Callithrix jacchus: one gene and its partners. The protein of the gene in region 1 interacts with the protein of each later gene in a pairwise test. Links are inferred from orthologs where the notes say so. Each region holds a gene or a part of one and is shown in the gene's direction. Other genes may lie near its edges.

The links.
Region 2: the proteins of CREB3 (region 1) and TMEM51 interact in a two-hybrid assay, tested with the Homo sapiens proteins (2 studies listed by BioGRID and IntAct). The two-hybrid records come from large-scale screens. The link is inferred for Callithrix jacchus from reciprocal best matches to the Homo sapiens genes CREB3 and TMEM51.
Region 3: the proteins of CREB3 (region 1) and MARCHF5 interact in a two-hybrid assay, tested with the Homo sapiens proteins (2 studies listed by BioGRID and IntAct). The two-hybrid records come from large-scale screens. The link is inferred for Callithrix jacchus from reciprocal best matches to the Homo sapiens genes CREB3 and MARCHF5.
Region 4: the proteins of CREB3 (region 1) and CACFD1 interact in a two-hybrid assay, tested with the Homo sapiens proteins (2 studies listed by BioGRID and IntAct). The two-hybrid records come from large-scale screens. The link is inferred for Callithrix jacchus from reciprocal best matches to the Homo sapiens genes CREB3 and CACFD1.
Region 5: the proteins of CREB3 (region 1) and USE1 interact in a two-hybrid assay, tested with the Homo sapiens proteins (3 studies listed by BioGRID and IntAct). The link is inferred for Callithrix jacchus from reciprocal best matches to the Homo sapiens genes CREB3 and USE1.
Region 6: the proteins of CREB3 (region 1) and SLC35H1 interact in a two-hybrid assay, tested with the Homo sapiens proteins (2 studies listed by BioGRID and IntAct). The link is inferred for Callithrix jacchus from reciprocal best matches to the Homo sapiens genes CREB3 and SLC35H1.
Region 7: the proteins of CREB3 (region 1) and FDPS interact in a two-hybrid assay, tested with the Homo sapiens proteins (2 studies listed by BioGRID and IntAct). The two-hybrid records come from large-scale screens. The link is inferred for Callithrix jacchus from reciprocal best matches to the Homo sapiens genes CREB3 and FDPS.

The regions. Positions count from the first base shown.
Region 1 is NC_133502.1:142,636,887-142,641,144, forward strand, and holds the start of CREB3 (cyclic AMP-responsive element-binding protein 3), read left to right. Parts: upstream 1-1,320; 5' UTR 1,321-1,510; coding exon 1,511-1,645; intron 1,646-1,738; coding exon 1,739-1,886; intron 1,887-1,957; coding exon 1,958-2,025; intron 2,026-2,138; coding exon 2,139-2,228; intron 2,229-3,860; coding exon 3,861-3,967; intron 3,968-4,048; coding exon 4,049-4,117; intron 4,118-4,258. UniProt on the Homo sapiens protein: Endoplasmic reticulum (ER)-bound sequence-specific transcription factor that directly binds DNA and activates transcription. Plays a role in the unfolded protein response (UPR), promoting cell survival versus ER stress-induced apoptotic cell death.
Region 2 is NC_133508.1:52,502,413-52,506,711, forward strand, and holds the start of TMEM51 (transmembrane protein 51), read left to right. Parts: upstream 1-1,438; 5' UTR 1,439-1,629; intron 1,630-1,705; exon of another isoform or gene 1,706-4,299.
Region 3 is NC_133513.1:85,074,930-85,078,638, forward strand, and holds part of MARCHF5 (E3 ubiquitin-protein ligase MARCHF5), read left to right. Parts: intron 1-1,941; coding exon 1,942-2,144; intron 2,145-3,709. UniProt on the Homo sapiens protein: Mitochondrial E3 ubiquitin-protein ligase that plays a crucial role in the control of mitochondrial morphology by acting as a positive regulator of mitochondrial fission and as an important regulator of immune response.
Region 4 is NC_133502.1:182,067,755-182,071,463, forward strand, and holds part of CACFD1 (calcium channel flower homolog), read left to right. Parts: intron 1-518; coding exon 519-591; intron 592-2,320; coding exon 2,321-2,446; intron 2,447-3,709. UniProt on the Homo sapiens protein: Transmembrane protein which mediates synaptic endocytosis and fitness-based cell culling.
Region 5 is NC_133523.1:15,817,978-15,822,382, forward strand, and holds the start of USE1 (vesicle transport protein USE1), read left to right. Parts: upstream 1-1,407; 5' UTR 1,408-1,421; coding exon 1,422-1,523; intron 1,524-1,839; coding exon 1,840-1,889; intron 1,890-2,027; coding exon 2,028-2,106; intron 2,107-2,203; coding exon 2,204-2,356; intron 2,357-3,183; coding exon 3,184-3,193; intron 3,194-4,405.
Region 6 is NC_133506.1:41,596,739-41,601,214, reverse strand, and holds the start of SLC35H1 (solute carrier family 35 member C2), read left to right. Parts: upstream 1-1,485; 5' UTR 1,486-1,543; intron 1,544-4,476.
Region 7 is NC_133519.1:15,738,666-15,742,907, forward strand, and holds the start of FDPS (farnesyl pyrophosphate synthase), read left to right. Parts: upstream 1-1,430; 5' UTR 1,431-1,576; intron 1,577-2,249; 5' UTR 2,250-2,286; coding exon 2,287-2,462; intron 2,463-2,539; coding exon 2,540-2,702; intron 2,703-3,918; exon of another isoform or gene 3,919-4,242. UniProt on the Homo sapiens protein: Key enzyme in isoprenoid biosynthesis which catalyzes the formation of farnesyl diphosphate (FPP), a precursor for several classes of essential metabolites including sterols, dolichols, carotenoids, and ubiquinones.

The DNA.
Region 1 (4,258 bases):
ACCCCTAAAGCTGCCTCAAATTCCTAATACTAACCCCACCTCTAATTTGTTTTCTGATTCCCAGTACTGGCTTGGACATTCATCTCTTTCCTAGCAAAGACCCATATTCAATCCCTGAACCCTAACACTGATCTACGTTTTACCTTTAGCACCAAATCCCCTGATGTTAACCCTAAATGTTGACCCCAAAGCCTAAAGTTCATTTGTAAACTGATTCCTAACTCACCCTTTCACTGTTTATTCTTAATAGTGAGCATGCCAACGTTCTTTAATCCCCCAAACAGATTTCTAACCTGATTCCTGTTGTTGACCCTTAACCCGATCCTGAACTCAAATTATGACGAATGCTGGCCATGCCAGTAAACAAAATAATGACCTTAATCTAAACCTTACCTATCCAAAACGGACCTGACTCACACTGACTCAAGTTTTAACTCCAGCTTTTAACTCCTACAGCGACCCCTCATTCCTAAACCGATCCCACCTAATCTGCAACTCACCCAAAGCTTTCCTACCCACATGCCCGCTATCAGCTAACACCAAAGCCCGTCCCCGCCCTGCGCCCCGCTGCCACCCGACTCCTCACGCTCCCCAACGCCTATCCCAGGCAGAGGACTGCTCCGAGGAAAGGTCTGTCTCCCCTAAGACGGCCTACTTCACGCCAAGCCCAGGTCGAGATGCGCTGGACCCTGACCTCTCCTACTAATAGGACCCGAACCGGACACGAAGGAGAGGCAGGGCCCCGCCTGCCCGCCACCAGGGCCAGGTTCCGCGGCCCCACCCTAAGGCCCCCGCCCGGCCCAGCCCGGTCCGGTCCAACCTACCTGCGCTGCCTGGCTCTGCGCCCTGCCCGCCGGCCCGCAGCCCTGAGGCTTCTCGGGTCGCCCTCTGGCTCCGGCCTCGCCTTCCCTTCGACACTCCCTCGGCCACTTCCGTCCCAGGAACGTCCCCCACCCGCGGGCGGCGCCCTGGGCTCGCGCTCTATGGTCGTGGGGCCGGCAGGAAGCTGCTCTGGCCCCGGTCTCGATGCTCAGGAGCCGCCGAAGCCCGGCAGCCACTCCCCGGCAGGAAGCGAGGGTACGGCGCAATGCTGAGACGACGCCCGGATGACGCCTGAGCTTCCTTTTAGGCCTGAACTCTTAATTTTTCCAGCCTGGGGGAGAAGGCGGAGCCGGAGCCCCGGAGCCTCCGCCCTCGGGGTGCGAGGCGACGGCAGGGCCGTCCCCTGTATTTGCATAGCCCTTGGGACGTGGCGCGGCACCCAGGCCGCCTTCCAGTTGGAGAGAACTCCAAGTCCCAGAATGCCACGGGGCCGGGTGCGTCACTTTCGCTGTGTTGGAGGCTGAGGAGAATTGAGCCTGGGAGGTGGGTCCGGAGAGGGCTACGGATAGCCCCGGCGGGGAAGCCCGGCCGTAGAGGGGCGGTGGAAAAGTGCCAAAGGCCGACAGCTGATCTGGGACTCGTGTCTGGGCTTCGGACGTTGGGGCCCCGTGGCCCACCCTTTACGTAGATGTCTCAAATGGAGCTAGAATTGGATCCTGGTGACGAAGACCTGCTGGGCTTCCTGCTAGAGGCAAGTGGAGATTTGGGGACGGCGCACGAGGCCATCAGGGCCCCACTGGACTGGGAGCTGCTGCTTTCTGAGGTGGGTTGGGATTGCGACTGGGGAAAGCGTGGGATGTCCATGAGGTCAGGTGATGGTTATAGGTCAAGGCCTGTTCATTGGAACCCTGCGCAGGTACCGAGTGACTGGGAGTTAGATGATTTGCTGAGCTCACTGCTGAGTCCCCCAGCATCGTTGAACGTTCTCAGCTCCTCCAACCCCTGCCTTGTCCACCACGACCACACCTACTCCCTCCCACAGGAAGCTGTCTCTGTTGATCTAGGTGAGTCTGAAGTAAGTTTGCTGGGAGGAGAGGATTCATGGGCCTGGCTATTCATACTTTCCCTTTTGCAGAGAGTGAGAGCTTTGGAAAAGAGGAGACCCAGATGACTACACAGCATGTGGAGGAAATGGCAGAGCAGGTACTTGACTTGATTTTCAGGAAGATTACTCTCACATTCCCCAGGTGGGGCAGGATTCCCCATTCCTCTCTGACATCCCCATGCAACTGCTGCCCACTTTCTTGTTACCCTAGGAGACTGTTAGGTTGGTACTGACAGATGAGGAGAAGAGTCTATTGGAGAAGGAGGGGCTTATTCTGCCTGAGACACTTCCTCTCACTAAGGTAAGACTCTCATTGGTTGAGCAAAGGCTGAAAGGGAGTAAGAGTCCCAAGTAGGCCAGTTTTGTTAACTTTATATCAATAACTTTAAAAAAGGATTGAGTTGAGAAAATTAGCAGATTTGTTGCTAATAAGAAGTTGGGGCAGGTACCTAATGTGCTAGATGCAAGGGCAGATACTCGTATTTGTTGGGCTTACTTATACAAATTTTGGTGTTCTGCCTAAAAAAAAAATCATCAATGTAACTTAGTATTGGGCCTTGGAAAGGACTGTGTAAGTGAAGGGCCTTGACACTTCATTGGCTTGATAGTAGTCTACCTCTTGCTGAATGGTAAAAATGTTTAGAGTTCAACAGGGGTGGACTAAGCAGGACATGAATAAATGTAAAATCCTGAGTTTTAAGTTTTAAGCAATGAGCAGCAACTTCACAAGCAGAGTACTGTGATACTATGATGAAATCAGTGCTCATTAATAAAAAGGTTACAGGAATTTTTTCTTTTTGACAGGGTCTTGCTCTGTTGCCCAGGCTGAAGTACAGTGGTGTGATCATGGCTAACTGCAGCTTTGACTTTCTGGGCTTAGGTGATTCTCCCACCTCAGCCTCCCAAGTAGCTGAGACTACAGGTGCATACTACCCTGCTCAGCAAAATCTTTTCTGGTATTTTTAGTAGAGATGGAGTTTTACCTTGTTGCCAGGCTGGTCTTGAACTCCTGGGCTCAAGTGATCTACCCACCTGGAGCTACCAAAGTGCAGAATTTTAATTTCTTCAAAGTACAAGATGAATCGGCAGTGTGATGTGGCTACTAGGAAAGTGAATGGAATTTGGAGACTGTAGCAATAGAGTTATTGCCTCTATAAGTGACTCTCTTGCTTTCCTTTATACTGGGTAGAGCACATCTTAATGTCCAATTTTGAGACCATCTTTGACAGATATTAAGAGGATGCAGGCTATCCTAAGATGATGTTAAAAATTTTGTGTAAGTTTTTTTTTCTTTTTTTTAAGCTCTGAGGAAATGTTAAGTGCCTTAAAATAGCTAACACAGTTCATTCTATTTGGCCCCAGAAATACTAGGTAAGTCTAATGGATAGAAATTATAAGGAGGCAGCTGTTGGTTCAGGATAAGAAAGTTTTGTTTAAAGACAGGTTCTTTCTTTATTGCCCAGGTTGGAGTATAGTGGCAAGATCATGGCTCACTACAGCTTTGACCTCTCAGGCTCAAGCCATCCTCCTGCCTCAGCCTCCTGAGTAGTGGGACCACAGGTGTGTGCTACCACACCCAGCTAATTTTTTATTTTTAGTAGAGACAAGATTTCAATATGTTGTTCAGGCTGGTCTCAAACTCCTGGGCTCAAGCAGTCCTCCTGCCTTAGCTCCCTAAGGTATTGGGATTACAGGCATAAGCCACGTTGGCTGCATATTGCCTGACCAATTTTTTTTTTTAATTGTTTAAAATGGTCTGGCTTGTTAGGGTTAACACCTGGTCCGTGGAGGCATTCAGAAAGAAACTGAATGCCTATTGGTCAGAGAAGCTGTAGAAGAGATTTCTGCATTGGAAAGAGATTGATCTCAGTTGCCTTTCAACTCCTTGGTCTAGAGTCCCTCTCATGGTATCCCTTTCCCTGTTTGCTTTCAGATGGAGGAACAAATTCTGAAACGTGTGCGAAGGAAGATTCGAAATAAAAGATCTGCTCAAGAGAGCCGCAGGAAGAAGAAGGTGTATGTTGGGGGTTTAGAGAGCAGGTATGAAAGGGAGAGAGACTCAGTTGTTAGATTTTTGAAGGGAGGATACAGGTCATATACCCATATCTTTATTTCCCCCAGGGTCTTGAAATACACAGCCCAGAATATGGAGCTTCAGAACAAAGTACAGCTTCTGGAGGAACAGAATTTGTAAGATTCCCTCCAAACCACTGCCTTCTTGTGCCCCTCATTTAATGCCTTCTCACTTTTTTTCCCTTGCCTTACACTTGATTTCTAACTGGGCAGCTCTCAAATGCTAGGTCTGGTGCCTGGCCTTCACTAGGTCTCTGA
Region 2 (4,299 bases), on another chromosome or scaffold:
CAAGTTCTGTCGAACTGTTAGGGTGCAAGAATGGGGGGCGGGGATAGCCACATGTTACAACTCGGCAGGTATACACACGTGGACACCGTGGACACCTTATGTACCCATGAATTCCGCTTTTGGAAGTGAACTTGACTGCAGCCTATTTTCGTCTGGAGGCGGTGGATTCCCGGTAGGAGGCGCCTTCAGTCCTCGGCTCGATCCTGCGACGCCCGCCAGCTGCCTAAAGGTTTCTCGGTGTTTGAACTTCAAAGGGCTGGACGCTCACCTAAAAAGGGGACCCGGCCTGACCTCTCTCGGAATTAAAAATAAAAATAAAAATCTAAGATTGAGAGAGGGAATGGGGCTGGCTCTTCCCTCTGTGTTTTGAATCCACGTTTTTTGGTGGTCTGGCTAAACCTAGCTCACCCTAGTTCGGGCGCCACAGCCACGCGGTTCTGAGGGCAAATCTCCAAGGGGCGGAAGCAGAGCCACGGGTAAGAGACGTCCGCGCCGAGTTCGGGTTTGCCCTCCCCGGAGCCAGGACTCGGCAGCAGCTCGCGGCCTCCAGGGATTCGAGCAAAGACTGGCTGCCCGCCTGCCACTCGCGGGGTAGAACACCAGCCGGCGCCTCGCCGAGAAAGTTCTCGGCAAACCTGGGGATGAGCCCTCAGCAAGGGTGGCTCCGGCGCAACGCGACCCCATCCAGTGCCCGCGCGCAGGAACCCGGAATGGGCCCCACCTGGGCCGGGACTCAGGCGTGCGGTCCCGAGGGCGCCCTAGGGACCAGGCCGCGGGTGGAGACCCTGGCCGAGGGCGTGAGCTGACTCGGTTTTTAAAAAACTCGCTTCCTCCTTCCCTACCTCTGCCCGTCACTCACCTCGCCGGGCACCAGCCCAGGGCAGAAGGTGGAGAGGTAGGCGGCGGCCTCCCCAGGAAAGGGGAGAGGTGAGTGTCTCGCCAGGTAAAGGCGCCGCGCGGCGGCTGGTGGAGCTGTACCTCCGCGTCTGCGCCTGGTCTGGGAAGGAAACGGGTCTCCCAGCTCTACTTAAACCCCTAAAATCTGGGACTCCTGGCTTAAGACATCCCCAGACCACCACCCGTCACACACACGCGCGCGCACACGCCGGCATATCGATTCCCTGGGCCCTAGGGAGGAGGGGGCATCAGGGCTCTATTTTCTCCCGATCCTCTCTCGTCCAACTCGTCGGGAAGAACTTAGGCTCAGTCCCCCAAGACGCACTGCGCACTCCCCCGGCGGACGCTAGGGAGTGGGCGCCCGCCCTGAGCAGTGGCGATCCCGCGCCTCGGGCTGGGGGGTGGTGCCGAGGGCCGCGAGGGAGGGTCGGCCGGTGGGCGGTGCTTCTCCGGGCTGGAGGCTGCTCCCGGCCGGCGCCGCCCTCCGCCTCCCGCGGTCCCACCCTCCCGCACGCCGGCGCTCCGGAGCCGCGCTTCCTGCGTCCCCATCCCGGTCCCTGAGCTGGCAGTGCGCTCTCTCCGCCGCCGCGTTCCCTCGGCTGAGAATCCCCCGAACTCCAGCCACGCGATCGCGGCGCCCCCGGAGTAAGCCGGCCGGGGCGCCGCGGGGGTCGCGAAGCCCCCAGCCCCGGGCCGCCCGGCCGAAACGGAGCCGGACTCGCCGCCTCCCGGGTGAGTCTGACCCGCCGCGCCTGGCGCCCGCCGCGCCCCGCGGAGTGCTGTGGGTTCCCCTCAGGGCCGGGGAAGGGGGTCGAGAGCCGTCTGGGTCGCCCGTCCGTCCGCCGAGCGCTTCCCGCCTGGGGTCGACCACCGGGAGGACTCCGCACCCCGCACCCTCAGCGACCGCGCCCCGCCAGTGCGGGACACTCTCGCCTTCCGTCACCGCGCCCGACCAGCTGGCCTGGGAAAGGCAGCTGGTCTTGGGGGCCCCCTGTTGGTGGGGACAGGTGCCCTCCTCCCGGCGGGCCTTGAACCCTTGACCTCGCCAGAGGTACCTTCAGTGCGTGGTTAGGAGCAGAACTTCCCAGTAGGTCTCGGGAAACCACCTTGGCGCTTTGCTCCCGCATCTCTTACTCCTCTACGGAAGTCGTGGCCTTTTAGGGATTTAGATTCGTGTTTGTGTGTGTGTCCTTTTAGGGATTTAGATTCGTGTGTGTGTGTGTGTGTCGCTACCAGTAAACACGAGGTTAAAGAATCGGACGTGAGCAAAGTGGATTGAAACTTGAGACCTTCCTCCATGAGCGCATCGGTTTCTTCATCTGTGGAGGGGACATGATAACGTCCCAGGGTGCGTCGGGACATTCATGCCCAGCACCCAGCAAGCACTCGGCAGTAAGTTAGGTTACCGGACTTAGTGGAGAACAGAATCCAAATCAGATCTCAAGTCAGCGCACAAACGGGAGGTGTGTGGCCGGGCGCGCCAGGTCTGCATTACAGGATGATGGTCTCTTTCCCGACCAGGGATGGGTGCCAGAGACCTGGACCCCTGCACGGTTTCCCCAGGGAGCAGCCGTGGGGTGCCCTGCACAGCGCTCCGAGGTGTTTGTGACGGTGCGTGGGGCTGCGGGTCCTTCCCAGCAGCGCTGGAGATCTGGGTGCTGGGAACCCGGGCGCTGCAGGAGCGGGTGGGCGGGGACGAGGTGGGCGGGGCCGCGACCAGAGCCTGCGGAGGTAGGGCAGCGGGTGGAGGGATTGCCCCTCTAGCGCAGGCTTCTGGCTTTCCTTTTGAATGGGTTACCTGGAGAACAGCTTGTCTAGGGAACTGTGGGCCCTGGGACCGTGAACAGCTTTCACACTCCGGAAATCCTGACCTGTTAGGACAGAGCCGCTGTCTCTCCAAATATCTCCCTCCACCGATTGTGAGAGATACCCCCCGGACTGGGAGAAAAGGCCAAAGAAAGAGAAAGAGAGGAGGCTGGTGGTGCATCTGCTCCTCATGGTGTCTGAGCTGACAGCTGCCTGATGGGGTGTCTTGAGGCCTGCCCCCGTGATCCAGGGCCCAGGGGCCTCAGGGAGCCTCCAGCCTAGTGACAGAGTCAGAGATAATCATGACAAGTGTTACAGAATTGGCAATACAGTTAGGTCACACCACTTTCTGGCTGTGCCTCAGGTTCTTCATCTGTAAAATGGAATGAGAACCTCCAAGGGCAAGGTGGGGTATTCATACCTAGCCCATGAAGTACTGTATAGTAAGTTACATCACGGGACTTAGGCAAGAACAGAAGAAAGGAACTAACTCAGGAGGTCCTGTGAAGAAAAGAATATTGGAATATTCCTCAGGAAACTAGAGTCTCCCCAGGGGACACGGCAGGAAGGGTGGCTGGGCGACGGAACAGCACAGGCAAAGGCACGGAGATAGGAAGGCACACTGGCTGTGCTGGGCTGGTGAAGGTGCTCAGGCAGTGGAGGGTGGGGAAAAGTAAAGGGAATGGAAAGTCTGGAATAAGCTGGACTGGACAGGTGGGGGCTATCTTGGAATCATTCAACAGATGTTGACTGAGAACCTTCTGTGGGCCAGGCACTGTCCTAGGTGTCCTAGGTGAACACCACGGAGAAAGATGTCCCTTTCATTCAAGTTCTCTAAGCAGAAGATAAGAAGACATTATCTTCTTAAACGTCTGATCCCATCCATACGTTAAGAAGATAATCCTGGCTGCCTGGAAGTTGGCAAGGATTCTCAAGAAGACTCCTAAGAGAGGCTGGCCTGTGGGTTGGTGGGGGCGGTGGGAATGAATGGGGGAGCTGGATGGGAGGCCCAGACAGGAAGCAGAGAGTAATATATGGCCCTCACCCATGACTGCTGGACAAGGGGGAGATTCAGGGGTTCTGTGTGAGGCCCAAACTGCCAGCCTGGTCTTCTGCCAGTAGTGAGCAAGTGTCTGAGATATTGGCAGGACTCAAGCCCCTCCACCTGCAGCTTTCCGGCTCTCTGGCTCCAGATGTCAGAGTCCTGGGGGTTTCCCTGTCTGCGTGAGGGATGGGAAGACTGGAGGTGGAAGGCAGCTGGAGCTTTGGGGGGGCTCCTATTTTAGTAGGATGTGTTTCTGGTCAATGTTCCTCCCTCCCTCTGCAGGGCTGGCTATAAAGCCCGCAGACCTCTTGGGCTGGGAGAGGTCATAGTGTGAGGAGCTTTAGCGTGGATTATCATCCCCCAGTCCCAAATTAAGGTGGGAGTCAAGGGAATGAGAAGCATTGTCTCCATGGGTACCAGGAAAGTTTCAGAAGCTCAGTTGCCTTCTGACTGGGGATGTGGTATGGGGGACTACTGACTTGGGATGTGGATGCTTCTGGCTGCTGACTTTTGCTTTCACTTTTGTTTCTGCGCTGAAGCTTGGAGGAATC
Region 3 (3,709 bases), on another chromosome or scaffold:
CTGAAATTGAATTAATTTAAAATTTGATTCACCTTAATACCGATTAGTTATGCTGACGTACCCATACTTAGCTATATATGTGTTGAAATAAAGTATGAGAATGAAAAGTCTAGATATTCTGTCAATATTTTGTTGCTAAAATGATATATTCCATTTTGTAGATGTATACAAATATGTTCACAAAGTTACCTCAGTTGTAGGGAAAAATATATACTAGCAACATCTCAACCAGTCTATGTGCTAGTATACTTAGCAATTGAAGTTTTATGCAAAAATCATAGATTAACACCCAGTCCTACCATGGGTAGTCTTGGTGGTTGCACAACAGTATGAATATACTTACTGCCACTGAATTATAAACCTAAAAAATGGCTAAAATAGATTTTATGTATATTTTATAACGATTATTTTTTTTTAAAAAAGAAAATATTCTTTGGGAGGCCGAAGCAGGTGGATCATGAGGTCAGGAGTTCAAGACCAGCCTGGCCAAGCTGATGAAATCCCATCTCTACTAAAAATACAAAAATTAGCCTGGCGTGGTGGTGGACACCTGTAATCCCAGCTGCTCGGGAGGCTTAAGCAGAGAATTGCTTGAATCCGGGAGGCAGAGGTTGCAGTGAGCCGAAATCGCGCCATTGCACTCCAGCCTAGGTAACAGTGAGACTCCATCTCAAAAAAAACAGGGTATTTTTGGACAATCATAAGACAGTGTGAATGCCCAGACAGCTTAGCTAAAGTGGGTCAGAAGGGTCAGAATGCTAAACAAATGCTACCTGCGTTCTAATTTTGCTTAGATCTTATGAAACCTGACTGAATTTTAAATATCGTTGCCATGGATTTAGTTCAACTTTTTTCCTGTTAGAATTGAAAATTTATAATTGGATCACACAATTGAAATTCACATTGTTCCACAAGGACTGGAGACCTCACCCATCTGTAATACCTGACTATATAGTCTTTCCCACTGAGCATAGTTAAGCTAGTTGTTCTGATAGAAGCCACTTATCCAATTAAGTGAAAAGTGCACAGTAGGTAACATGCTTTAATTAGCAGTTGTTTCCACTAGTACATATTTTAATGGAGGGAAGGAGAGAATGGTCTCATTGAATTAACTGTATTTGCCCTAATGGAAATCGATGTCAAAACTTGTGTTAATTGGGAGAAAAACTGAGGAATTGCAACCTTATTCCATAAGAAAAAAATTAGACTTCATGAAGTACCCTTAAAAGCAAAGTGGGAAAATGTTTTAAAATTACCCATCTCGATAGAATTTTATTTTTATTAATATAAGCATCCCAGAGTTGATACTTGTAGATTTCAGATTTCAAGCATGTACACCCAAATTTATCATATTGCTATCCTAAAAAAAACTTGATATCTTTATCTCCTTTATGCTTTTTTGAAAATGTAATATTTTTCCCCATATATTTATACTTTACCAGAAAGAGAAATGGGTTTTTTTTTCCCCTCAGCTGAAAATGGAATGAGACCATATGTAAAATCACTTGTGTAATACTTTGTTTTTTCAAGCGCAAGAGATTGGTGGTGCTGAACTGGGGAGAACGCTGAATTTAAAATATTACTGTGCTTACTATTCCTCAAAGAATTATTAGGTCTTATAAAACAAAAGCACCTTGAGGTATGTCTTCTTACACTCTGGTTCATTAGAGAAGGTGAAGAAATACTGAAAAGATAGAAGAGATTACATAAAAACAAAATTCAGAAAATGTAAAATTCTGTAGAGGAAGACAAGGAAAAACAGAAAAGGTAGAAACTGCTCTAGTGGGAATGTATTGGTTGTTTTGTCTCCATAGTCTTTTAATATAGGACAGAGATTATGTAATATAACATAGTAGGCTTATCCCATTAAGTAAGAGCTGCAGTATGGAGGAGGCTGGAGACGTATAGATAAATGTTGTCATTTTATCTTTTAATTTACAGAAGTTGCTGGGTTTGTTTTGCTACTGATGAAGATGATAGAACAGCTGAATGGGTGAGACCATGCAGGTGCAGAGGATCTACAAAATGGGTTCACCAGGCCTGTCTTCAACGCTGGGTGGATGAAAAGCAAAGAGGAAACAGTACAGCCAGAGTGGCATGTCCTCAGTGCAATGCTGAATACCTAATAGTTTTTCCAAAGTTGGGTAAGAATATCTTTAAAAACAACACAGATATATTTATGTAGCTTTATGGTCTCAAGTTTATTTTAAAATGACCCACCTGTTTGGTTTTGTGGGGGTGTGTGTGTGTGAATTTCTATATTCTCTTTCTCTTGTTTCCTCTCTGAATGTCAGAGACATTTATTTGTTTTGCTAACAGTATCCTTAATATATCCCCAAATTTATCCATTTGTCTGTATACTGTCTTTATTTGACAGAGAACTTGCATACTTGTGTGGATATAATTGAATAACAAAGCTATAATAAAAAGCTGACTTAGCTTAATTCTCTGGAGACAGGTGGTATAAGAGAAAGAAAGCAGTAGTATATTCTAATACTTCTCCTTAATTCTTCCTGTTAAGTAATAAAAGTAGAGACATTAAAGATTTAATAAGATATGAAGTTAAATTTATTTTTGGAATCCAATATGTGTGCTTTCTTTCATGAATACTGCTGTCCCTTTTCTATGAAGTGACAGTTAAGAAATAACCAAAGATCTTGGAGAACAGGCCTAGCATGGGAAAAAAAAGTATAGCAGACTGCTTATAAGAAGCAGTATAAGACTGCTTCTTTAGCAGCAGTATAACTAAGGCTGAGGTTGAATGAGCCTGTTCCATTACAGCCATACAGTTACAAATTGGTGTCAATCTCTTGGCTTGGTGTTTATACCATGCCAGTTAACCCTTGGCTGTAACCAAGAGGTGTAGGAAGGCAGCTTGGATTCTGGGAAGGTCATAAGGAAAGAATGGCTTTGGGGGCAGAGGAATTCAGGAAAAATTGGAAATAATTATTAGATACATTGGTTTTGTTTCTGTTTTTTTCTTTGTTTGTTTTTAGACGGGTTTTACCATGTTGGCCAGGATGGTCTCAATCTCCTGACCTCCTGTTCCTTCCGTCTCCACCTCCCAAAGTGCTGGGATTATAGGCGTGAGCCACCACGCCCACCCTGATACATTGTTTTTTATAAGTGTTATTCATACTGAAATCAGACCAATGTTTTTGAAAATGAGGCAACATAAATGCAGATAATGAAGTGCTTTTCTAATGTGAGAAGATTAATAAGGGCAAACAAAATTTCCGTGGTTGTCTTTTTCTCTAACATGCACAGGAAAAAATGATCGCTTCCTATGAAAGGAAAGTAGTATAGTAGAGAAAGTAGTGTTTTCAAACATTGGGAATTTATGGACCATGTGATGGGTCTTCAATGCATACCACTGATTTTAGATAAACACAGAAGAATAATCCAAAACGTTTTTATTGTAAGATCAAAGCAGTCTTTTTAAACCACTATCAGAAAAAGCAGTGATTGCTACAGTCTTTCACCACATTAATTTCACCACCATTAATGTGGTGAAAGTCTCAAAGTCCAAGTTAAGGTTTCCTATTTAACCAATTTCTTTTCTTGCTCTTAGTTTTACTAAATTAGATAGCCCCATCTTTGAATTACAGATTTGGGAAAATCAACAAGTATATGGTATTTCTTTTAGATGTTTTAGATATTCAAATGGACACAAAAATTATCACAAGAATTCTCACTGAAAACTACATCA
Region 4 (3,709 bases), about 39 Mb from region 1:
GAGGCACCCCTTGTCCCAACCAAAATCCAAGCCATATTTTCTGAGTCAGAGGACTTCTTGTGTGGCCGGCCCTGTGAATGGTGACAAGTGACCCTTACTGAAGGCAGAGTCTCGGGGGAGCACTGGCCTGAATCCTTGAGGGACATTCTCTCTTTAATCCTAACCTCCCTTTGAGGTGTGCACTGACGCAGCTGGGGTCAAAGGGCCAGTTTCTCTGAGCCCTGGAGCGGAGAGAGGGCGAGATGCTCTCATAGCCTTCCCAGCGCCCAGAGCCGGCCAGCTGTGAGATCAACTTGCCACCTTGCTGCCACCTTGCTCTGGGGCCTGGGGCGAGCCATGGCACCACTCTGTGTCTCCCCACCTGTCTCAGATGATAGAGGGCAGGCTTCTGGGTGTCATGAGAACTGTGTGCTGCGCATCCGCAGGGACTCTGGTGCTTTCCAGTCATCTCCCCAGGCCGCCATGCCAGCGGGCTCTGCCTGCCTCCCACTGACTTCTGCCGTGTCTCTTGTTTGAAGCTTGTGCGATCTCTGGCCTCTTCAACTGCATCACCATCCACCCTCTGGACATTGCAGCCGGCGTGTGGATGATGTGAGTAGTGCATGGCTGTCCCACCCCAGGGGTCCTGCGGGTTGGGGGTCTTCGGGGCACCCCGCGGGGTGGAGGAGAGGCAGGGGCTGCAGGAGCTGGTGTCCTTGAGGTTGCCATGGTTACTGGCTCCCACCTGAGCGCCTCAGGGCTCATGGGTTTCTGGCCACAGCATGGGTCTTCTCCTACTTCCTACCCCCACCATGTTCGGTTTCCCAGTGAGAGGTCAGGGTTTGGGGAATGCTCACCCCGGCCTTCATCCAGTGCAGGAGGCCATCCAGTACTCCAGACATTCCTGGAGCACCCACTGAGACTGCAGGTGCCAAATCCACTAAGCTGGGGCCCTTGCCCTCTGGGAGCTCCCAGGATGGGGGTGGGGAAGGCTGTTTGTTGGGGTTGGCTGAGGACTGGGTTGGAGGGTCCACTGGGAGAGGGTGCTCTAGCTCGGGGCTGTGCCAAATATGGGTGGGAGAGGCAGGTCAGAGTGGTCATGGGAACCTGTGGTCAGAACACCATCACGTGCGTTCCATGACCGCCTCCTGCCAGGTGGCACCATCCCATCGGAAGGGAAGGTGCAGTGAGGGCACATGAGAAGTGGCTGTGTACCAAGAATTTATGAGTGTCCTCGTGGGGCTTGGTCTTGAGGGGTACTGAGATGGACGAGATTCAGGTCCCTTCCTCAGTGACCTATGGCTAGTGGAGAGCCTTGGGGGCTTGCTGTTGTGGGGTCACCAATGCCTGTGTTTGCCAGTGGTGGATAGCAATGGGGATGGACAGAGGAGAGGCGCTGGGCCCAGCCTCGGGGTGGCATCAGAGCCTGGCCGAGTTTGCAGTGGTAGGGCTGGCCCAGCACAGAGTGAGTTGATGCTTGGAGGCCTGGTGTGTGGGAGGCTTGGGGCCGGATGCAGTGGTTAAAAGTTGTGAAGAGAGTCTCTGCCCTGGGTTTAGGGTGGCTCTGGGGTGTCCTGAGCTGCATGTCTGTTACACAGGTGTAATGATGGCACATTTCTCCTAGGCTTGGGGACAGACAGAAGGGCCTGGCTCAGTGTCTGGTAACTGACTGTTACCCACACATTGAGAATACCAAGACCACGGCAGACACTCTCTGTCACCAGTGGCTTAGCTGTTCCCACCCCAAACACGGGGCCGGATGCAAGGACTTGTTAAAGTTCTTCCTCCCAGCGTGGGCTTCCCCTGGGTGTCCCTGGGCCTTGGGCTGGTGGCATTGGGTATGTGGGCAGCCCTCCGTGACTGTTTTGAGACTGCCTGGCTCCAGCTCTCTGCCTCCCTGGTGGGGCAGCCTTCCTGATGCTGATGCCACTGATGGATGCTGGTGGCCGTGGCGATGTGAATTAACAGCAGACAGAGCTGCCAGGTGCTCCATCTGTGGGCACCCTGCCTCAGCCTTACAGCAGTGCCATGATGTGGGGTACTCTCCTCCGTCTCACACACAGGAGGATAAAGGGAAGCAAAAGCCCGGGGGCTTCCTCTAGGAGTGTTGAGTTCAGCTGGGGAGATGGGTGTGCAGGAGCAGCTGGGGAGTGCTGGAGTGTTCAGCAGAGGCTCTTTGGTGGGTATAAGCAGGTGCCCTGGAGCAGCCAGGCACCTTCCCAGAGGAGGAGGGATGGGGGCAGGAGGGCGAGGGAGGTGGCATTCATGTGGCACTGGCACTGTGCACCCCCGTCCCCTGGGATTGTCAGTCGATGCTTTTCTCCTGCCCTGCTCCCTGCAGTATGAATGCCTTCATCTTGTTGCTGTGCGAGGCGCCCTTCTGCTGCCAGTTCGTCGAGTTTGCAAACACGGTGGCGGAGAAGGTGGACCGGCTGCGTTCCTGGCAGAAGGCTGTCTTCTACTGCGGGTGAGGGGCTGCTGGGCAGGGTCCTGTGACACAGTTCCCCAAAACCCACTGACAAAATGTGACCCACAGGTCAGGTGAGGGTGGGCAGTGTATGCGTCTCCTCTGTGTAGAAGTGTAAACCCGGACGGCCTTTGTGCAGTGATTGCTGATTGCTGCCAAACCTGCCCCAGTGGTTCTGCACCGGGAACTCAGCTGTCGCTGTGCTGCAGTCACTGGAAGGTGTTTGAGCATGCGTGGCAGCATTCCGTGCAGCTGAGAAAAGGGAAGCGTCTGGAACTTTGGTTCATCCACTGGGTGTTGTTAACCAGATGATAGTAGGTCTGTAGGATGTGTTTCTGAAGAGTGGGCTGATGTAGGTGTCCTGACATGAGAGAGGAGAAGCAGGTTGTAGAGCAGAAAATGTCGTTGCCCTCTAAATGTGCTTGTCAAAGTTTTTCCCATTTCTAACAACGAAATCAATCTGTTATACGTCTCCTCTGAGTGGTACGATGGAACTAATTTCAGGATAAGCGTAATACATGGAAGCTCCTAGAATAACGCCCCTGGTGGACAGGAGGCTGGCGGCAGCAGCATTTATCACTGTCCAGGTTACCTTTCGAAAGAGGTGCAGGTGCAAGCTTGCTTTCCCTTCAGAGAGGCCCAGTAGTTTTGATGGTAAGAGCAGAAGCCTGGTGCTTAGCCCTGGAGCCGTCTTCTGCTCTGTCTAAATCACGAAGAACACAGGATCACAGACCTCAACTTCCGCAGTGTCATGTCCTTCGGAGTTCAAACAACTGTACTTTAAAAATGCTAGCCATACTATAAATTCATTAACTATGATTTGGAAGATGGAACAGTGTTACTTGAAGCCAGCTGCCTCCTACTCTTCTGATGTGTGTGCTTCCTGTCTGCGGGCGTTTTTTAAAAGCCTGCTTTTAACACAGCTATCACCATTATGAATAAGTTTGTATCCTGCTTTTTTCACTTAGTGTAATGATATAAGCATTTTTAACATCACTTTTAATATAGGAATATTCGTTCAGCTGGATGTATCATGGTTTTCTTAATTTCTTAACTGGTATAAATCGAACTGCGATAAGCATCTATCTGCTAAGACTGTTTCTGTGTTTATGATGATTTCCTTAAGATCTGTTTTCAGGTGTGGCATTATCGGGTCAAAGAGTCTAATCGTTAAAAGTATTTTAAGATGTGTGGCTACATTGCTTTCCAAAGAGGTCACTTGAGTCTCTTCCGTGCCCCTGCTCCAGGCCTAGGGCTGCACAC
Region 5 (4,405 bases), on another chromosome or scaffold:
AACATCACACCCAGCTAATTTCTGTATTTTAAGTAGAGACAGGGTTTCACCATGTTGGCCAAGCTGATCTCGAACTCCAGACCTCAGATAATCCACCCGCCTCAGCCTCCCTAAATTCTGGGGTTACAGGCGTTAGCCACCTTGCCGAGCCATCTATGGTATCTTCCAAGGACATCAGGCCCACTGGTGTGACAAGGTACAGATGACCTAAAGTGTGGGAAAAGATGAGGGCTGCATGCCAGGCCCTAGTCCCTGTGAAGCCCCCATCCTCACCCTGTCAGTCCAGAAGAGTGGCAGTGCAGGCGCAGGGATACTCAGCTTCCCAGTACTGAGGTGGGCTAGGAAGGAGTTCTCTCCATGGGGGTTTGGGCGTTAGGAGGGACCCAGCCCCACCTTGCTCAGTGTCAGGCAAAGTTGGCTCATGTCCTCCTTGAGGCAGGTACTGACACATTGTCCATTTCCCCCGGAGAAGAAACGGATCCAAAGAAGTTAAACTCGCCCAGGGCCAGGGATGGAGTCAGAGCTGGAGCTGCGACCTGGAAACTTGTAACAACAATACAGACGAGCCCCTCTGACGTGGAGGAAGCCTTGGATTCCTAAATCCCAAGCTAGAGCCCCTCCTACAAGAGAAATAGGGCCAGGAGCAGTACCTGGCACCTGTAATCCCAGCACTTTGGGAGGCCGAAGCAAGTGGATCACGAGGTCATGAGATTGAGACCATCCTGGCCAACATGGTGAAACCCCGTCTCTACTAAAAATGCAAAAATTAGCTGGGCGTGATGGCAGGCACCTGTAATCCCAGCTACTCGAGAGGCTGAGGGAGGAGAATAGCTTGAACCTGGGAAGCGGAGGTTGCAGTGAACCGAGATGGCGCCACTGCACTCCAGCCTGGCAACGAAGCGAGACTCCGTCTCAAAAAAAAAAGAAAAAACAGAAATTGGGAATGGCGCGTGGAGGCGAAACACCTCCGTCAGAGAATCTAGGCAGAAGTGGAGGTGGGGAAGGTACTTTCAGCAGGCATATCAGAACAAGAGGGCACATTGCACGTGTCCTCCGATTATTCTCGAAGGGTTAACACGTTCTCGAGGAAAAGAATGAGTAAGAAAGAGTGGGGTAGTGCCTCTCCTATTTTTTTAAAATAGAGGTAGGGTAGCGCTACGTTGCCCGGACTGGCCTCGAACTCTCGGTCTCAAGCGATCCGTTCTAACCTCCACCTCCCAAAATGCTGGGATTACAGCCCTGAGCCACCCTCTCCTGGCCCAGCGCCCCGCCTCAAAACAAGATACTACTTCCGCCCAAAAGAAACATGGGCTAACGAACGGGAGTAGGGGAAACACGTCCGCCCGGAAGACCAGGTGAAGGCATTTCCGCCCTCCGTTAACATGGAGCCGGCGGAAGGGGCGGGACACGGCCTGGCAATAATGGCGGCATCAAGGCTGGAGCTGAACCTGGTGCGGCTACTATCCCGCTGCGAGGCGATGGCAGCGGAGAAACGAGACCCGGACGAGTGGCGCCTGGAGAAGGTGAGGGGATCTCGCACTGCCGCATAGAGTCCGACTCACGCAGGGCTGGTTCCTAGAGTTGGAAGCCATCCGGCCCAACTCCCCAGCCCCAAGAGGCTCTCTGGCCGCGCCCTTTCCGGTCAGTCCTGCCACGTCTACCTGTAGCTTCCGCCCCTGTCCCTGGGACTCCGCCCCTCCCCCCAGTGGCCCTGACTCCTTTACTCTTGACCCCTCCCCATATGTCGGCCCCGCCTCGGTTCTGGCCCCGCCCCGCTCTGACTCCAATGAGCAGGACATGGGAAAGACCCCCGGGTGAGAATCCACTTTTCCTCCCCAGTACGTGGGAGCCCTGGAGGACATGCTGCAGGCTCTGAAGGTCCACGCGAGGTGAGTGCAGGCAGCCTCAGGGCTTTCATATCAGCATGTGTCTGTTCTGTTGAGACATCCCAGGACCGCAGTCCCAGCTGGGACCCTTCCCTTAGCTGGGGACCGTGGACAGGTGTTTTTCTTCTTCCTGGCTCCTAGCAAACCGGCCTCTGAAGTGATCAATGAATATTCCTGGAAGGTGGATTTTCTGAAGGGGATGCTGCAGGCCGAGAAGCTGGTGAGCAGGGGTGTCCCTGCCTGCTCAGACCGCACCACTGCTCACTTGGTCCCCAGGACCTGCCCCTCCAGTGACATCTCTTCCCACATTTGTGCAGACCACCTCCTCAGAGAAAGCACTGGCCAACCAATTCCTGGCCCCTGGCCGTGTGCCAACCACAGCCAGAGAGCGAGTGCCCGCCACGAAGACAGTGCATCTGCAGTCACGGGCACGGTACACCAGCGAGATGCGGAGTGAGCTACTAGGCACGGTAGGGCTCCTTCTCTGGTCCCTGGGAAACCCTTGGCTTGCAGGCAGCCAGACCCACAATACCGTCAGATACCAGGACCCACGGGGGTCCTGCAATCTCTTCCCTGGGCCATCACACAAGGCTGCCTGACAAGGGTACTGTGGCTAGGGCTTTGCAAGATGAATAGGAATTTGGTACAAGGCAAAAATGGAATGTGTCTGGTTAAGCCCCAGAGTTGGCCCAAGAGCGGGGTTTGGCTCCTAGCTTGCAACTTACAAGACAGGTAAGTTTCTTCGCTGTTAAAGAGGATGATATGTTCCTTTCTGAGCACTTTATGTGGATCAGCTCAACCTTTCAAAATATGAGCTGTTGTTGTTAGCAGTTTGTAGTTGAGGAAACTGAGGCTCAGAGGTCATGGGATTTCCCCAGGTCCCTAACTGAAGGTGAGGAGGTTAAGATCAGAAGGCACAGGTTCAGGAATGAGACAAACAGGGTGACTTCAGGGGGTGACTTCATGTCACTTACCTTTTTTGTTTTTTTGAGTTGGAGATTCCCTCTTGTCGCTCAGGCTGGAGTCCAGTGACATGATCTCAGCTCACTGCAGCCTCCACCTTCCAGGTTCAAGTGATTCTCCTGCCTCAACCTCCCGAGTTGCTGGGACTACAGGCACCCACCACCACACCTGGCTAATTTTTTGTCTTTTTAGTGGAGACGGGTTTCATCTTTTTGGCCAGGCTGGTCTTGAACTCCTGACCACTGGTGATCTGCCCAGCTCGGTCTCCCAAAGTGCTGGGATGAGAGGCATGAGCCACTGTGCCCGGCCTCATGCCACATAATTCTTTCCACAGGACTCTGCAGGTGAGTCACCATGGACACAACAGGACTTGAGGGCCAGCTGCCAGGACAAGACATGTATCCTTGCTGCCCTGTGGCCTCCATGCCCAGCCTGATGCGAACAGGGTCTTCCCCAGCCAGGGAGAATGTCACCAAGGGAGCATCACCAAATTACACCTGGATGAAGAGCCAGGACAGAGGAAGTGGCCCCCAGAGGAAACAAAGCTAGGCACTCCTGGTGGGCACAGTGGCTCATGACTGTAATCCCAGCACTTTGGGGTGCTGACGGAGGCACATCACCCAAGGTCAGGAGTTCGAGACCAGCCAGGCCAACATGATGAAACCCCATCTCTATTAAAAACACAAAAAATGATCCGGGCATAGTGGAGTATGCCTGTAGTCCCAGCTACTCTGGAGGCTGAGGCAGGAGGATTGCTTGAACCTAGGATGGGGAGGTTGCAGTGAGCTGAGATCACACCACTGTAGTCCAGCCTGGGTGACAGAGCAAGACTCCGTCTGAAAAAAAAAGTGGTGGCCAGGTTCCATGGCTCATACTTGTAATCCCAGCACTTTGGGAGGCTGAGGTGGGTGGATCACCTGAAGTCAGGAGCTTGAGACCAGTCTGGCTAACACGGTGAAATCCCATCTCTACTAAAAGTACAAAAAATTAGCCAGATGTGGTGGCAGGTACCTGTAGTCCCAGCTATTTGGGAGGCTGAGGCCAGAGAATTGCTTGAACCCAGGAGGTGGAGGTTGCAGTGAACCGAGATCATGCCTGGGCGACACAGCGAGACTCTGTCTCAAAAAAGCAAAAAAATTAGCTAGTCGTGGTGACGTACTCCTGTAGTCCCAGCTACTTGGGAGGCTAAGGCAGGAAGATTGCTTGAGCCTGGGAGGTGGAGGTTGCAGTGAGTTGAGATCATGCCATTGCACTCCAGCCTGGGTGACAGAGAAACTGGTGTCTCCAAAATAAGCAAATAAATAAATATTTTAAAGCTAAGTACTCCTAGTCTATGGGGCCAAGCCTAGGTTGGAGGCAGGGAGCTGGCATCTGAGGGAACCGAGACAGGAGTAAGGAGACCCTCGTAGAAGAGGGGCATTCAGGCATGGTCAGAAGTCAGAATACGACTGGGCAGCAGATGAGATGAGGAAACAGCGTTCCAAGCAATAGACCCAGCACAGGCAGTGGGCAGGATGCTGGAAACGGGAAACCAACGCTCGCCTTTTTGCTTGGCC
Region 6 (4,476 bases), on another chromosome or scaffold:
TCTGGAGAGCTCCAGCTGGAGCCCTTAGTCACCTTCCAAGAGTCCCTTCCTCCTCCTCATTCACTCCTCCCACACATACACACACACAGACACATACCTGCTGGTGAAGTATGCTCACAGATTGTTGTACTGGGACAAAGCGTTTCTGCTCAACCCTGCTGGGTACAGCAGCCTAAGGCATACTGTACACCCCCATGAACACATCCTGCCTCTTCTCCCTGCCAGGGACACAGCCAGGCAACAACTCGAGTACTTGTGCCTTACAAAGAAGACATGCTCTTTACCCTGTGTGTTGCCTATGCTTAGTGCCCAGCCTTCCAGCTGGTGTTTTAGGCTGTTGCTCCAAACCTTGGCCTTGGTAGCTGGGAGGCTTGAATGAGGGTGGTGATAAAAATAGATTACTTTCTCTTGCCTCTGAGAGAGAAGGGTGTGAGGAAAAGCTCTTTCAAAAGGTATAGAAAGTGCATGCAATACAAGCCTTGAGGGCTGAATAAAGCCAAGACCTTGGGCAGTGATGGGTACCATTGTAGGTGCTTGGTAAGCATTGAATGAACTAATGCCTGCAGGATGCCAGCTGGCGGCAGTGACGGCAGCAGTCTGCACAAAGCACCGCTTACACTCTGGCCTTGAGCCTTCTGTTCAGAGGGGCCAGGGAGCCCAGCTGAGTCACTTGCAAGGATCCATGTTTGCAGCTGGTCTTTGCCAGAGAACCCAGGAGGAGGCTGGAGGAGGGCAAAAAGCACAAAACTGGGTCTGAAAGTGCAACCCTAGCTTGCCCTGCCCTAATGATCTTGGCTGCAAATGCTGCCCTTTGCATCCATCCTGCAAGATGAAAATATGAACTCCCTAGGCTGGCATTTTGGGGCCACTGCAACCTGCCCCTTGGCTACTTTTGAACCACCACAGTTATAAACCTGTGCCCCAGGCACGGCTAGAGCTTTCTCGCCCTCCTTTAGGATTCTGCCATCTCCTCTATCTGGGATGCTCTCTCCCTACTCAACCTATTGAAATTGAAATAATTCTTAGAAAGTTTCATATAGAAAATATTTCACAAATGTTTCTTATTACTTCTGGATCGCCTACATTGTAATGTCCCCAGCTGGCTTGAGCGCCCAGAAGATAAAGCCCATGAGATACTTATCTTCGTGGTTCATTCCATGGTTGCCCAGCACTGGACTGGACATAAGAAAAACAATTTGTTCAGTAAAAGTAAACAAGTGACCGTTTTTGGATGCCCACTGTGTGCAGAACACTAGCAGGTACCGGGGTTCGAAAGCAAGCCCTTGCTTGAGCGCAGGAGAGGTGCAAACAATTATAATACACGGCTGTGCTCTGCGCCAGAGGGACTTCGCGGAGGACTAAACTGTGCTGTACCTCGAAAGGACCCGACCACCAAAGATGCCCCGCCCCCACCTTTTCTCCCCGGCTCCGCCCAGCCCCTGCAGCTTCCGGCGGAAGTTACCGACGCTGCCGCGGTTCGGCTGCGTCATCCGGTCTCACACTTCCGGTGGGAAGATTCCGGCCGGGAGTTCCCCAGGCCGAGGTGAGTGGCCGCGCGGCCGGGCGAGGTCTCGGGCTGGGTGGCCGGGGTTGGAGCCGGGAAGCGGGCTCTCCGCCCGGGCTCTGCGCGTTGGCATGGGGCACGTCACGCCCCTGTCCCTCCCCGGACCTCAGTTCCGCGGTCTGAGGAGGGGGCAGAGGTCTCCAAGCGCCTTCCTGTAGGGCACTGCCCCACGCCGGTTCATCTGGTATTCACTGAGCACCTGCGACGTGCTGGGCGCGGGACCCAGGCCGGAATCGGACAAGGCCCTGCCCTCGGAGAGGCTGCTTCCCGCGGTGGGGTTGGGGCGGGCAGTAAACACGTGAGCAAACAAGGAAACGTCAGAAGTGGGAAGTGCCACGAGGATTGGGAGGGGTGGGGCATTGGGGAAAGTATTCAGTCAGGCGGAGGTCTGCGGAAGGGTGCTGAAGGCAGAAAGAGCTGCAAGTAAAGAAAGACACAGGGTTAATGTGTTTGACACATGGCAGGGGGCCGCTGTAGGGGGTGCTGGGGCCAGTGGCAGAAGTATGCAGTTGCAGCGGCACGATCGTGAGAGGCCTTCCTTGTGGACCTGGCTGAGGAGTTGGGCTTAGCTTTGGGGCATGGTCTGTTTTGTGTGCCCACAGCATCTCTGGCTGCATTATAGATTCCAGGTCTTAGGGGTGAAAGAGGAAGCAAGTTAGACCAGTAGTAGTCAGGAGGTGAAAGATCATTGTGGCTTAGACTGTGGTAGTGGGAATGGAGGGGAATAGAAGTAGATGGGTCAAGAAGTGTATTGAAGGTGGAACTGGCAGGGCAGAATTTGAGAAAAGATGGAAATAAGTGGTCAAAGATTACTTCATCGTAGATTTTTGGTTGTGGCTTAAGTAACCAAGTGTATTATGCTGGCATGTACTAAATCACTCTGGGATAGATTGGGGACATGAGAAATAATTATGAAATCTTCTTAAGGCAACTTAAGTTTTAGATATTTGAAGTGCAGCTACCAAATAGGCAGTTAGATATTACCAGTCTGATACTTACAGAAAAGGTCAGGGCTGATCTAAAGAATTTAGAAATTATTGGTAAGTGGATTGGGTAGGATGAGATTATGTAGCGTAAGATTTAAGAGAGAAGAGAAGCCAGGTTCCACGCTTCAGGCACCAAATTTTTGTAGATTGAGTTGACAAGAAAGTGCCAGCAAAAAAGACCAAGAAAAAGTCCAGAAAAAAAACAGAAGAAAAACCAGGTGGATGTGGTATCATGGCACCCAAGAGAAGATTTTTTTCTAGGAGGAGGAAGTGATCCATTTTGTAAGATAAGCATAGAGACTAGGCCTTTGCCGGGGTAGCAGGGAGGAGGTGTGGTAGGTAACCCATCGGAGCAGTGGAGATGGGCTGAAGTGAGGACAGGAGGTGAAGGAGTGGAGCTGACAGTGAGGGACCCTCTGAGGAAGTTTCACCACAAGGGGACCAAGAGGGGAGTAAGCCTCTACCATGAGCCAGCATTTAATGCTGCACCTGATGCCACTTTACTGAGTCCAGAGGTCTCTCCCTTTATAGTTGGAGAAACTCGGGTCAAGAGGTCAAGTAACTTAGGGTCACACAGTAGTGAGTAGGGACAGTAAGAATTGATTATTGGTCTCTAACTCCAAAGCCCACACTCTTAAGCGCTAAACCATGCTGCCCAAGTTACAGTTAGGAAGACTGAGGGAAGCAGGTGCCACAGTGATGCACCAGCCAGCCTTAACTTGATGTGACTGCTGCCCCCAGCCAAGCTGCTCTCTGTGGAAAGTGGGGCAGAATATGGACTTTCCTTCCTGAGCAAATGAGATTTCGAAAAGAGCATTTACCCCTTTAAATCTTCTTTCCCTTATAAAATAAGGGTGGGCATCTTTTCAGTTTCATGTCTTTGTCTCCAATGGTGGGCCTACAGGAGTGCTTCATAAATGCCCATTAAGTGCCTAGATGATGTCCAGGGACCCCTCTAGCTGAGATTTGCCTTTGTGTTTGTGGATAGGTGACTGTCTGAATCCTAATAAGAAAATGAGTTAACTTTGAGACACTGCTCCTTAGGTGGGGTAGCCATGGGGACTTCTTGGAGGCAGGGGACCTGGGCCAGGTGGTGAAGGAAGGTCAGCATTTGAACAGTGGAGGAAGGGCGTTGCAGTGCTGCAGCAGGAAATGCAGCAAAAGCAGTAACTGCAAGAAGTTGATTAACAGAAGAGTAAACAAACTTTCCTGCCTTGGAAGCCACAGGAGGACCCATGAGGGGAGAGTGCCAGGAAGAAAGCTCTCTTAGTGCCAGCATGTCCTGTGATTGCCTGTCACAGAACAGGGTCAGCAGTGGTTCTTCACAGGGACCAGGTTTGGTCCCCAGCTTACATATGGCTGTGTTTATTTATTTTTTGTTTGTTTAGAGACAGAGAGAGAAACAGCTAACTCTCACACTGAGTGAGAGAATCCAGAAAGATGGAATCCAGGAGAGGAAAGCAGCTTCCACACTGAGTGGAAAGGAATAGAGAGAGATGGAGTTTAGGAGGGGAACACAGGCTTCCACGAGAGACTGTGGAAGGGAACCCCAGATGGGAAATCCAGGAGAGAGGAAGATTGCTCCCACAAAGGGAGTGTTCGTGGAAGGGATCCAAACATGGAGGCCATGGCTATGTTTAGAGACATTCTTGGGTATCACAATTTGGGATGGGGGAAAGGATGTGACAGGTGTCTGGTAGGTAGGGGCCAGGGATGTTGCTAACCACCTTACCATGTACAGGATGGGTCTTCTCCCAAAGAATTATCTGTCCCCAAACAAGGGGTATTGCCAAGATTGAGAAACCCTGGTATAGAGGAAAGAGTATGGGTTTTGTGGGGGTTTTTTGTTTTCTTTTGTTTTGTTTTGTTTTTGAGATGGAGTTTCACTCTTGTTGCCCAGGCTGGAGTGCAATGGCACGATCTCAG
Region 7 (4,242 bases), on another chromosome or scaffold:
TTCTGGTGAGCTGAGATTGCACCATTGCATTCCAACCTGGGCAACAGAGTGAGACTCCATCTCAAAAAAAAAAAAAAAAAAAAGAATTGCACAAAATGCACAAACAAAGCAAAAAAGGAATGAAAGGATTTATTGAAAATGAAAGTATACTCCACAGTGTGGAAGCAGGCCTGAGTATAAAGGGCTCAAAGGCCCTGTTACAGAATTTTTGAGAGTTTAAATACCCTCTATCTGGGGTACACCCTATGTAAATGAAGAGGGTGAAGTAAAGTTAGTCATTTACTTGACCAACGCCCTGTGGAGAGTATATTTCTGGTCATAGCTCAAGTGTGAATCGGCCTTATGTTCCCTGCCTCCAGACCCTATTTTCCTGCCTCATCTCCCCACTGAGAGATGTGATCCCTATTTATGGAAGGTAGAGGAACCAGTGGTCTTTATTCTATAACTGCTTCATGCTGGCTTAGAGGGTAGTCCCTACCTATTGGGATAACTGAACTCTCACCCTGCTCTGTCTAGTGGAGGAAGGGTAGCTCCTTGATGGCCTGGGGTGGTGTCTTCACCAGGAACTGGCTGGAGCCTTTGTTGCATGATCGTCTGAAGCTTGAGAATAAATTAATTTGGTTAAAGGATGTAATGGGAACTTCAGGAGGTGGATACCTATGCTGTCAAGAATGTTTTTTATACAGATTTGCAGGAGAAAAATGAAACCTGCAACAGGAATGAGCCACCCCACTCCGGCTAATTTTTGTATTTTTAGTAGAGACGGGGTTTTGCCACGTTGGCCAGGCTGGTCTCGAATTCCTGACCTCAGGTGATCCGCCCGCCTCGGCCGTCCAAAGTGTTGGGATTACAGGCGTGAGCCACCGCGCCCGGCCAAGGTTGATCTTTAAGCCCTTAAAGCACTTTAAACACATGACCTCGTGGTATTATCACCCTCATTCAACAGATGAGGAAAGCTAGTTTCAAGGAAGTTAACTGAGGAGATATTAAATGATTTGCCTGAGTTGGAGAAATAATAAGTGACAAAGCTAGTCCTCCTGCGTTTTGCTAACAGGCCATTCAGCTGCCCAGGAAGATGTCGAAAATTGTAGTAAAGGAGGCAGTCAGAGCCAGAGCTGGGGCGTTCCCCACCTGGCTCGCTTCGAGCAGTGATACCTCCAGCCAAGCCCTCTAGGCTTCAGCCCTTCCATTGGTCGTCCGTCACAGTGCGCCATGCTCACACGAGGGCCAGGAGCCAATCTGTTCGGCTGGTCTCCGCCCATCCAGACCACGCCAGATTGGCGTTGTCTGTCCCTCCCGCGGCACGCTGGGAGTTGTAGTCTAATTATGCATTTCTGCCGATAGTGTGGGGAAAGCGAGAACTACTCGACCCATAGAGCCGAGCGCGGAATTGATTCTGCTTTTAGGAGTACCCGCCAACTAGCGGGACCGAGCAGGAACCCGCAACCAGGAACAGGTGAGACAGGACGTGTGCTGGGCCTTGGAGGAAGGGATCCGAGACCGTGCTTTGCTTCTGTAACAATATTGTGAGGCACGGGAAGCTCAGCCTGCTGTGTCAGAGTTTCTCCGTTTTGAGGTCGGTGGGCTAGACTGGCTGGCCTTCTCTAGGGGTGCAGAGACTTCCAAACTCTGCTCTTGTGCTTTCCTGAAACCCCCAGTATGCCCGGACCCCGGTATACTCCTTTGCTGCGAGCCCTTCTCTCCCGTCCAGAGTTGCTCCGACCCTATCTGCGCAGTCCTAGCGCTTCCTGTGAGTCTCGGGACGCGCGGTTCCAGCACCCCAGACCATATGGACGCAGCACCCATGGGTTCCGGCCCCAATGCTTCTCCTCTCCTTGGGAGGTAGCGCAGACCCTGGGCACCCCTCTCCATCTCCCAGGGGAGACCTGGGTTCTAGATTTGGCTCTGCCTCTACGATCTTTCTACCTCCTAGAGCCTCAGTTTGACTTGTGTAAAATAGGATGACTTAAGGGTCCTTTCAGCCCCTACTCCTGGGGTACTTTACTGTGTACCACGTCCTTACCCAGCCTGTGGACGCCGTCTTGAAGGCATTGAGTTCTAGCCTGTTGATAAGTGGCAATTAGTTGGGTCTCAGTCACCCAGCCCTACTTTTTGTTTCCTGCATATCCCTCCTCCAATTGTCCCTAAGCACATTCCACAAGAGGGAGGGGCACTCTGGGCTAAGGCTGGGGTGGGAGTGATCTGGGGAGCTGCCACCATGCCTCTGCCTTTGGTGCTTGCCCCTGCAGGGAGTGCTTGGCGCCCCCTCCCTATGCCACTCCCACGATGCCCTTGTCCCGCTGGTTGAGATCTGTGGGGGTCTTCCTGCTGCCAGCCCCCTACTGGGCACCCCGGGAGAGGTGGCTGGGTTCCCTACGGCGGCCCTCCTTGGTGGTCGGGTACCCAGTCCTGGCCTGGCACAGTGCCCGCTGCTGGTGCCAAGCATGGACAGAGGAGCCTCGGTGAGTGTGGTTGGGGTGAGGGGCCTTGGGGAGGGGAGCAGCTGGTCAGGTTTCTGACTTGTTCTTCTTCTCCTCAGAGCCCTTTGCTCCTCCCTCAGAATGAATGGAGACCAGAAATCAGATGTTTATGCCCAAGAAAAGCAGGATTTCGTTCAGCACTTCTCCCAGATCGTTAGGGTGCTGACTGAGGATGAGATGGGGCACCCAGAGACAGGAGATGCTATTGCCCGGCTCAAGGAGGTGAGGGATTCATGACTTGGGGGAGTGAGTCTTTGGCTTCGTTGCTCTGTATACACGTGGGATTCACCTGTGGCTTGTGGGGGGCTTTTGACAGATGTGAGAGAAGGCTTTTACCTGAGGGACTCAAGCCCACTCTTGAGGGGTTGGGGCCTGGGCAAGTATACTTATTCAGTCCGTCATCCTGACTTTTGGCTGTGATGGAAGGTGGGTCATCCAGACTGCTTTGCTTGAGGGTGGAGGCCTTGAGCCTGGCAAGTCTCTGATTTTGTGTCCTGAAATCAGAAGCTGCTACCTTAGCAGAGACTTGGGAGGAAGGCAGTCTGATGTTGTTCTGTCTCCCTGGGGTTTGAGTGAAATCATTGTATCATTAGCAACTCCTATTCTAGGGATGGATATGGTGGCTCACGCCTGTAATCCCAGCATTTTGGGAGGCTGAGTTGGGTGGATCACCTGAGGTCAGGAGTTGGAGACCAGCCCGGTGAAACCCTGTCTGAAAAAAAAAAAATCTGAATCTAAAGAGCTTTAACGATTAAAAAAAAAAAAAAAAGGAAAAAAAGAAACTCCTATTCTAGGACATGAACTATTCCTGTGATACTCGCTGTTTTTTTCCCATTGATTCTGGAGTATCTATTAAAATTCTTTTTATTTATTTATTTATTTTTTGAGACGGAGTTTCACTCTTGTTACCCAGACTGGAGTGCAATGGCGCGATCTCAGCTCGCCGCAACCTCCACCTCCTGGGTTCAGGCAATTCTTCTGCTTCAGCCTCCTGAGTAGCTGGGATCACAGGCACGCACCACCATGCCCAGCTAATTTTTTGTATTTTTAGTAGAGACGGGGTTTCACCGTGTTGACCAGGATGGTTTCGATCTCTTGACCTCGTGATCCACCCATCTCGGTCTCCCACAGTGCTGGGATTACAGGTTTGAGCCACCGTACCCGGCCCAAAATTCTTTTTATAAATGCTGTTTATCTCATGTATCTGAGGGGAACCAAGGGAAAGGGGGGGTTTTGCCTATACTGGAATAGGGATTAAAAGAGAAATCTTGGCCCAGCGAGGTGGCTCATGCCTATAATCCCAGCACTTTGGGAGACCGAGGTGAGCCGATCACTTGAGGTTAGGAGTTCAAGACCAGCCTACCCAACATGGCAAAACCCTGTTTCTACAAAAATACAAAGATTAGCTGGGCATGATGGTGTGTTCTTGTAATCCCAGCTACTCAGGAGGCTGAGCCGGGAGAATCGCTTGAACCCTGAAGGCCAAGGTTGGAGTGAGCCGAGATTGCGCCACTGCACTCTAGCAAGACTCTGTCTCTAAAAAAAGAGAAGTCTTGGCCAGGCATGGTTGCTCAACGCCTGTAATCTCAGCACTTTGGGAGACCAAGACAGGTGGATCATGAAGTCAGGAGTTTGAGACCAGCCTGGCCAATATGGTGAAACCTCTTCTCTACTAAAAATACAAAAATTAGCTGAGTGTGGTGCCATGCACCTGTAGTCCCAGCTGCTCAGGAGGCTGAGGAAGAATTGCATGAACATGGAG